Linked DNA regions of Drosophila melanogaster. The gene in region 1 interacts genetically with each later gene. Each region holds a gene or a part of one and is shown on either strand. Other genes may lie near its edges.

What was found. Genes that interact genetically often act in the same process or in processes that back each other up.
Region 2: of cher (region 1) and vari, changing one enhances a phenotype caused by changing the other (phenotypic enhancement), as found in Drosophila melanogaster (one study listed by BioGRID).

The regions. Positions count from the first base shown.
Region 1 is NT_033777.3:17,122,334-17,127,055, forward strand, and holds the start of cher (cheerio), read right to left. Parts: upstream 3,057-4,722; 5' UTR 2,906-3,056; coding exon 2,880-2,905; intron 2,454-2,879; exon of another isoform or gene 2,426-2,453; coding exon of another isoform or gene 2,156-2,425; exon of another isoform or gene 2,144-2,155; intron 350-2,143; exon of another isoform or gene 80-349; coding exon of another isoform or gene 65-79; intron 1-64. Other genes in the region: CG45079 (uncharacterized protein), read left to right, coding at 2,156-2,425; CG17477 (uncharacterized protein), read right to left, coding at 3,794-4,597. UniProt on the Drosophila melanogaster protein: Involved in the germline ring canal formation. May tether actin microfilament within the ovarian ring canal to the cell membrane. Contributes to actin microfilaments organization.
Region 2 is NT_033779.5:20,794,022-20,798,603, reverse strand, and holds the start of vari (varicose), read left to right. Parts: upstream 1-1,561; 5' UTR 1,562-1,845; coding exon 1,846-1,951; intron 1,952-2,469; coding exon 2,470-2,567; intron 2,568-3,348; exon of another isoform or gene 3,349-3,596; intron 3,597-3,665; exon of another isoform or gene 3,666-3,798; intron 3,799-4,457; exon of another isoform or gene 4,458-4,544; intron 4,545-4,582.

The sequences.
Region 1 (4,722 bases):
GCAACGTTTGCCGATCGGATAAGGGCCACCCTAGGCCCACAAAACAACAAAAAAAAAAACTCACTTTTCTGGACGCCATATCGATGGTTTTTCTGTTGGTTGATAGGGATCGCTGTCGAATGATCTCGAGTTGTAATACTTTAGTGGGGGTGCTTAATACTGAACACTTGATGGCCCGCTAATTACACAATTCCTGGCGTGGCGAGCACGTTTCTCTCTAAAAAAACACAACACAAACACGACTGGCAAATCCTTCGTTTTTTTTCGTAAACAAATTTCAGAATTTCTTTCTTTTGGTTTTGAAAATGTGTGCACGAAATGCGCGCGTTGCTTTCGGGTTCTTTGCTACACGTACTCGTACTGGCCGCGACAATTTCTCAACTCGACTGAGTTGTGTGCGCCTCCTTGCTCAAAGTTTTTATGCAGCCAAATGCTCGCCGCTTATTGCTCAATTTCTTTATTATTATTTTCTCAGATAAATCATACAGACGGGGATCATCTTAAGTAACTCCCTAAGCAAATATTAGGTAACGCTTATAGGTTATAATTCCAAAAGATACTTTCTACACACTCCTACTGGTTGACAGATAACAAAGGTTTGCCTTCGATTTTTTCTATTATTATTTCAAGTTGGAAATGAAATTAGAATACAATATTATTATGTATATCATAGTTATAGTATAAAATATAAAATTGTGGTTTGTATTTTTATTTTTTTCAGATCATATTAAATAAATGAATACATTTCTCACAAGTTTCTAAAAGTGCATCCTCGTCTGTCAAAGGTCTTCAATACATAATTTGTTCAATATTTATCTCGCTTCATGTTTTGTGTTGTGTTTTTGGTATTGCGTGTGACGTTGACTCGGCGTCGCAGTCGCAGTCGCAGTCGACGTCGACTGCACTCTTGACTCTGTTTGGCAGGTTTTTGGCGACGCTACCACATGAGACCCCCCAGTCCCCACCCACCGCTTGCCCCGCAATCCCCCCCCACCCCCTGCAACTCATCACAAATGTGATTTTCGACGCGCAGCTGATTTTGTTGTTATTCTTTTCATAGAACTGGTTGCCGTCTTTTGTGTTTTATGTTTTTGCTTCAATCTTCTCTGCTGCTGGTCACAATTGAAAGTGCCTCCTGCAAAAATGATTGGCTTTTGGCCATCTCTGGCGGTCGCCCCAAGTACATTCCGCATTTCCCCGTCATTTGACTCACGAGGCGCTGATAAAGAATCCCAAATCGGGGGATCGTAGAACCCGTAGAACTCTTAAATGAAAAGCATATGTACAGTTGTATGTTGTTTATTCTTGTGAGATGACTAACTAGCTCCGGCCAAATCAGCTGTCATAAATTCCTCGATTTTATTTGGCTTGAATGTTTATGCTCGTTTGAAGATAAAACGCAGCAAGAGCACGCTAAATATATCAAACAATTTTATTCTGATTATCTGATTTCAGTGCTATCATGGCGCTTAAAAGGGGTTTTAGGAAGTCTTAAGTGATCTACCAAAATCAATCCGTAAAATAAAATTAAGAAAACTAAACTATAGTCACCATTTTTATGAACTTCAAAAAACCAGTAAGAATTTTAAGATCTAATTATGCTTAGATATGAAACACCATTCATAACAACTCTGTACTAACATTTCTCAAAACCTATTTAATTTCCGTGTGAACGCGCAGCGCGTGTACTTTTAAACAAATTTTATTTTTATTGACCATCATTATTCATGGCGTTTGAATTAATTCAACAGCTGCTTGGGCTGTTAAAATCTCTTGTTGCGCATACGCCCCGTTGCCGTCAAGTAATTTCACGTGCCAACGCTTTATTTAGCTTTTCCCGATTCGGCACTGTTACTTGGATATTTAGAAAATAATTGGAATATAATAAACAATGGCACAGTGGGCTTTCAAATGAATCATACAAAGTCTTCTGAAAATTTCAAAATTTTTAGATACAACAGCTGGTGATTAATTTGGCAATAGAATATGAAAAATAAATATTAGTTAAATATTAGGCTTTTTATTGAATATTTGGCATTTGCCCAACTGTTTTAAGGTATTATTTCTTTAAACAATTGAAAATAAATAAGATAAGAAGTATATAATTGATAAAATTGTATCTATCGTTTATTAGTTTGTATTAATGCCGGCTAAAATGAGGTTCTTAACGATCTTTGCGTTGTTTTGCGTCTTGGCAGGCTGCTATTGCTCTGACTCAACTACGTCATCCGGATATTATTGGGACCCATACTCATCATCTTGGGTTCCGTACGGAGATTCTACCACATCGTATCCCTACTGGGAGGATACTACAACATCTGCACCTGTTGCTTCGTCAACTTCCAGGTCTCCATGTGATGGAAAAACCCAAGGACCCTGCACAAATCTGCTAAAGGGTGCACAAAAGGTTTATGTCTTCTATTAAAAAATCACTTAAACGTGTACGCCTAGTTAAATAAATCATTTGGGAAATACATATGCCGGGTCCCCTTAGGTACTATACCCCGCAGATACCCCAGGTGCGGCAGAGCATGCGATTGAGGCTAAATAAAGATCAGAGGCTCTATTAACATCTGGTGCCCGACAGATAAATGCACTTTACGCTCTCACAACTGAACATTTAATGGCTCTTTCTTTGGGATCCAGCAAAGAGGCCTTTCATCGTCTGAATATATCACGAAATGGCAACGCCTTGTACGCAATATTTCAAACTGAAATTCACATAACACAAAATATTCTATTTTATTTTTGGTAATATATTTATTCGAACGGTTTTTTTTTGGCCGTATACTTTTAGCGCAATATTCATCGCTCTTGGTAAGAATGTAAAATACATTGCAAAGTCGTTTTGCCTTAATTGGGAAAATTATTTCACATACTTTGGCATTTTCACTGGATTTAACATAATTTTTTCCTCGACTTTGCACAAGTTGCGAAATTTCACTTGTTATATATTGCTGTATATATAAAAATATGAGCAAGACACGCGTCTACATATAGCTCACGGATTGCGTATACGCCGCGTATTCCAAGAAAATTCGAGGCCCGCACCGCACACGTCCAAGTCAATACAGCAACTGAAAATCTTTTTCAAAATGCCAAGATACAGCCCACAACTGAGAGTTTTCCCGGTTGTTTTTCCCCCATCTGAACAGCGAGTGCCGATAGAAATATTTTCAGAATTTCCATGCGCCGTGAGCGATTTGTGTCGAAATTTTTCTCACAACTCAAATCATGACTAAGACCACGTCTGTCTGGGTCTACCTGCTACCAATTAGATCAGGACGACACGTGTGACCAGTGCGACACTTCTCTTCTTCCGAAATAAATCAGAAAACGGCGGGTGGCTGAATCACTAAGACATTCCGGCTGTCCGACTGAACGGACTCCTGGCTGTGGGCCAAGAATATCACTTGCCTCCAGAAACATTAAAATAATTCACCACTCCCGCCAAAAAACAAGTGAACTACAGCAACCCAAGTAATTAAAAAAATAGAGGATGCCCCGTACAGAATGATCCCTTACGAGTGACCCGTAGAGGATACATCCTGCCCTTCGTTTTCAGTTCGACTTGCACGCGATTTGTTAGCGGCTTCTTGGCGGCTTGGTGGCGATTTGTGTGCGGCTTTGGTGCGGGTTTTATGCGGTTTTGGTGCATGTTTGGTGATATTTGATACAAGGCTGGCAGTTTGGGAATTATCTTATGTTTAAATGGCTTAATAAATTAATAAATTATTTACAGCATTAAGGAATTACATTATGAATTGAGGTTCTTTAATGAGTTCAAATGTTTTTATCCATCTATTGTCTGCTGGTTGACCTGTGCACATTTGCCATTGCCACTCATCGTTTGTCGCATCCAGTCGCGGTAGTACATTATATTCATGAATATATCAGGCACACCCTGGGCGCAGGGTACAAAGAAGTTGAGTATGCCCACCAGGGTGCCCTGGTGAACTAGAGGACCTCCAGAATCTCCGTGGCAGGCTCCAATATTTGCCTGACGATAAGCACAAATATGGCAAGGTCCCAGTTCCAGATCCTCGTAGGCAGACATCATGGACTCGCAAGCCGGGGAGTTGAGGTGTTGCTGCTGGACACGCTGCAACTGCGATGGCAACGACCCCGCCGCTGACTGAGATCCCCATCCGGTGAAAACCAGCTCCGAAGCTCCTCTTGGAAAAGGGGATGTGGGTAGTTCAACCGCCTGAGTTAGTGCGTTAAAGGTAATGCTCTCGTTCAGGTGGAGCAGGCCAATATCATTCTGGTACTTGGGACTGTCATAGTTGCAGTGCAGGTAGATGGCGTCTGGGTAATAAACAGCTCCTGGTTCCGCATAGCGAATTGTACCAGTGGCCACTTGAAGTCTGCTAGTCGGGTATCCTTTGACACAGTGACCAGCCGTAATTATCCATCGGTCCGATATGATGGCACCACCGCATAGGTGACTACCCAAAAGAGTTTGGAGCGACACCTGGTAGGGGGCATCTCCTTCAGCTGCATTCTGGCCACCCACAATGAAGTGCTCCAATGCCAATAAGTCACAGTAGAGTGAACTGAACACGAGAATATAAAATAGGAAACGTGCAAGCGACATGGCTGAAATGCAATCGCGGACTGAGCTAGTCTGGTTTTACCCTTCGCGATTTTGATTGAACTATACGAAAGTCAAAATGGCCTGACCAAAGGTTCCAACAATCGCGCCATAAACTGATTTTTTAT
Region 2 (4,582 bases), on another chromosome or scaffold:
AGCAGGACATACAGCAAATCGGACGGAGGATAAAACAAGAACCAAAAAGAAAGATACAAGGCACAAATACCGAAAGACAAGTAACTCACCACGACGGGGGGTGTCGCCGGAGGTGAAGGTGGATAAACAGGAATTTCTGCCTGTTCTGTTTTGATTTTTCGCTATCTCTCTCTTTCGCTCAGCTGCTTCTGCTTCTTCGGTTTGTTTATGTGTAATCCTTTTGTTTCTTTCGATTTTGGCGCGCAATTTTCCTTTTTTTTATTGCTATTGTTTTAGTTGTTGCTAATTACTAATTTGCAATGCAATTTTTCAAAACACGCGAAGCCGTTTTGTTGTGGCCGTTGTTATTGTTGCGTTGGCCGTGTGATTGCGGTTATAGTTGTCGTTGCGTTGTTGTTGGTTGTTGCTAGTTGCTGTTGTTGCTTTTGCAACTTTTTCACAATTTGCATTTCACGTATTTTTGCAGCAGCTTCGACGACTTTGACTTTGTTGCACAAACACAGGCGGAAAAACGGCCACACACTAACGAACTGAAAACAACAAAACAATCCGAGGAAGCTGCTGGCGTCTCTTTTCCTTCGATTTTTTCCCAAGATTGCCAATCCGATTTTACTGCCTGATTTAGTGTACTTTCGCGAATCTATAGTTATTTCCGCAGCCAGTCATTCAAAAACGAAAATGTAAACGAAACAGTGGGTTTACATTAATATATCATCACATAAATATGGGTTTTTTTGAATCCCAAAAGCATCTCGTGTTACTTAGCGCGACAAATCGGTTTCCGACGTATACTCGTTCGCTGAGATGTTATTCCACAGTGGTATTTAATTTGTTTTTACTCTTCATGCGAGGAAAGCACCGTACGCGCACGCTGCTCAAAACGGAATGAAAACAAGAGCTGTCGCATCGTTTCAGCCGAAAAATACCGAAGCATGCTGAAACTTCGAAAAATACCGCAAGCGAGAAACGATGTTTTTTCATCTATGGCAAGTCGACGTCTATTACCCTTTCGATTAATAGAAATAAAATATTGCATATTTATTGAAGTAACGAAGTTTGTTGCATCCCAGAGTTTTGTTAAGGCATAAATAAAGTTCCATAAGCAATTTAAAGACTATTTAATTAAATTGATTTCTAATTGGCATATGAACGAACATTTATTGGTCGTCCAGTTTAGAGTACATATTTATGTACAAATCGAAGTAAATTTTTTATAATATTAACGCACGGTTTATCAATGGCACAAACCATCAGCGATTCCCAAGCCATCCATTTTTAGCTATGTTATAGCTATAGAAAAAGCAATCACAAGCAAAATTAAAGATAATAAACAATATTAAATTTAAATGGCCTGAGAACAGTGGAATGCATTTTTATGACAGGCTTTCGAACTCCGTACATAAAGTACATTTACCGTACCGACCCAACAAAGAAGTGGCGCCGATAAGCACAATATTTAAAAACCGATAGGCACACGTTATTTGACTTTTTGTCTGCAAAAGCTTTCTCGTTTTAAGGAGCTTTGATTTTGGCATCACCTGCAACAAAAGCGGTTTTCAGTTTAGTTAGCCTCTTTCTCACAAACAAGTCGGTTGTTTTTGCGCTGTTGGAGGAGTGAAATTCTTAGCCGCGCTATTGTTTTTGTTGTTTGCGTGGCGTTGTGTTTATAACAATAACAACAAGTGATTATCACTGGAAGACATGTTCTGTTCAAGTAGCTAAGCATATGGCTGGCTAAGAAAAAAAACACAAGGGTTATAACCCTTTTTTGGCCGAAATACGAGACTGTCCTCCGGGGTTACTTCATTCGGTCTGTTATTTTGGCCACCTCCCAGTTCCTTCAAAATGGTTCGGTGGAGCGCGCGGTCGCGGCGCCAAGCTCGCCAGGATAAAGTGGAGCTATTGGCCAGAAACAACAAAGTGAATGGCGAGGACGATACCTCCGATAACGGTACGTGCCAGGGGTGTCCTCAAAAGGAGAATTTTAAGCGAAGTTCATACGAAATTCCAAACTATCATTTTATTGTTGTTTCTTTTTCCTTTAAGGCTCTGTTAATAAAGTTTTAATTTTGAAGATTTCAGTTGTTTAAATAGTTAAAAGATTTACAAACTAAATATTTCAATTCATATTCAAAAAGTGAAACGAGACAAGAGTTATGTTGCATTTCAGTAAGCCTGCTTGAAGTAAATATAATGATTTGTACTCATAGCTAAGAATAATCTGAAACCTGTTTGAAGATATGCGGTCTTTAAATGTATTTACAATAAATCGATAACAAAGAATATGATTATAAAACGAAAAATCAGATGCATGTATATCTAAATATTTCCCTCTAGAATTCCATCATTGTATGAATTGTATGAATTGAAAAGGGTAGCATTAAGCTGCCAAAACGAATGTCATTTCATCTGTTTCCGATTGTCATTTAACGACTGCGATTAATCTAAAACACTTTCGCTCCGTTTTAGCCGCCTTTCGCAACTCGACTGACCTATCCGACCACGATGAGATCTTCCTCAAGGGATTGCTGCGTAGTAACTCCAACACGCCCCACAAGGAACTGATGGCAAGTAGACCAGAACATATAAACGTAAAAAGGCGAGAGAAAATATCTCTGTACAATTTCTGACCCACTTAAACGCCTTCGAGCATCTGCTCAATAAGAAAATTGCGCATACGGTTTTCCACCCATTTTCCATACCCAGCCACACACACGCACACACTTTCCACATTTGTGTTTACTTCATCGATGGCATTGCATGCTGATTTTTCGGTCTAGATAGAATTTTCCGGGCTGCTTGTATGTGCGTGTGTTTGCTTTTCTTATTACATCATTTTCCTTGCCTCCACAAGCGCCAAAAAGAAAAGAAAATCCTTCTGTATTTTAAAAGATTTTCTCGCTTTAGCCATGCACTGCAATTGTTTTTTTTTTTTTTTTTGACTTCGTAATGGCCCATTAGCACTTGCTATTTTATTTTTGCCTTCCTCTTTTGAGTTTTCGCACTAAACTTGACCTCTATTGCCTCGGCAGATGAGTTGCCTTTATGCAGATGGGAGGCATTTTATTAGATCATCGTGACATAACCATTGAAGTGGAAATTATCTTGACCCGACACATTTAGCGCCTCCTCGAAGGTTTCTTACGGTAAAAGAACTGCCAAAAAGTTTGTAGCCTAATCAAATTGTAAATATTATTTGCTGTTCCTGCGGCAAACACGCAGGTCAACTAGAAAAACAATGAGAGGCAGTTACAACCAAAATTAAAACGAATTTGTTGTGCTCTGTATACAAGAAAAATAACAAAATATTTTAATTAATTTTTAAAAATTAATTTTCAAAATTGAAGATGCCCTTTCTAAGATGTAAAGTTATTCTGTTGGCGAATAATAAAGAAGTGGGGAATTAAATAGTATGTAAAAAATAGGCGTAAAACAATGATTATTAAGACCCAAACTAGCAGTACGGAAAAGCCAAATACAACAAATATTATGGAAAGCGACATCGTGTGACGACGACCATAATTAGAATCCAACATTTTCCGAGGCATTTTCCTGGGCAGGCTCATTCGTTTGTGGTTTTCTGCTGTGGTCGGCGGCTGTTGAGAAAGGCAGTGAAAGTAATTAAGCCACGAGTCACGAGATAAGAAAATATGAAATGTCACTACCAGCTCCCCTGTTTTCCTTTCCCCAACTCGCCTGTCGTCACCGCTCCTTGGAACACTCCCCCATTTTATGCAGATTACATAAAACTCGACGCAAGTCGCCGTGCCAACTCTTTGACATCAACGCCCCAAAGAAGTTGTGTGTATTTGAGTGTGAATAAGGAAACCGGTTTGGAAACATTTTCCAACGTAAACACTACGCTTTTTATGCTACCTGCGCTCGAAAACGATGCACAAAAAGCGCCCAGCTCGTTGGCCTACTAATGCAGCTGTGGTCGGGAGATCGAAAAAGCTTGCTATAAGATGCTGTTAAGATCACTGAAGTAGTTGGTAAAAACATTGCAAAGCATGTTATAGCCAAACTTACTTATTTAAGGTTCTGTTTTACTGAACAAAGTATAAAGCTAGTTAAATAAATATGTTTCAGCAACATTTGAATTATAATATTTGGAAAGCTAAGATCAGATTATTTAATTTCAGTATAACATTTAACAGAACATTTTAATGTTGGTTATTGTTATATTTTAGATATACCCCAAGTATGTACATATTTGTATTTTAAAAAGTTTTCTACAGTTTCAAATGGTTTTCATTAACAGAAAGAGAGGGCGCGTCACTGCTGGTTTTAAGTCACTGTTAAGTACAAGCTAACATGTGGATAACAGACTGCGTACAGTTGTAACTTGGCTCACGCGGAGCTTTTTTCACGGCAAGCCAGCGGCAAGCGAACTGAGCAGCAAACAAAGCTAGCCCTAACTTGCTCACTAGCTCTCGCCGCTTGCTTCCATAGCTCGTGAGTCAGTTAGTTGCGAACAGTGCTAAGGTGAGGTTCACATTCCGGTTTGAAACGCGCGCTTCGTTGGTTTCGGCCCATTCGAATGAGTGAGCATTGGTGCCTGACTGTAGTATAGGTGTTTTCA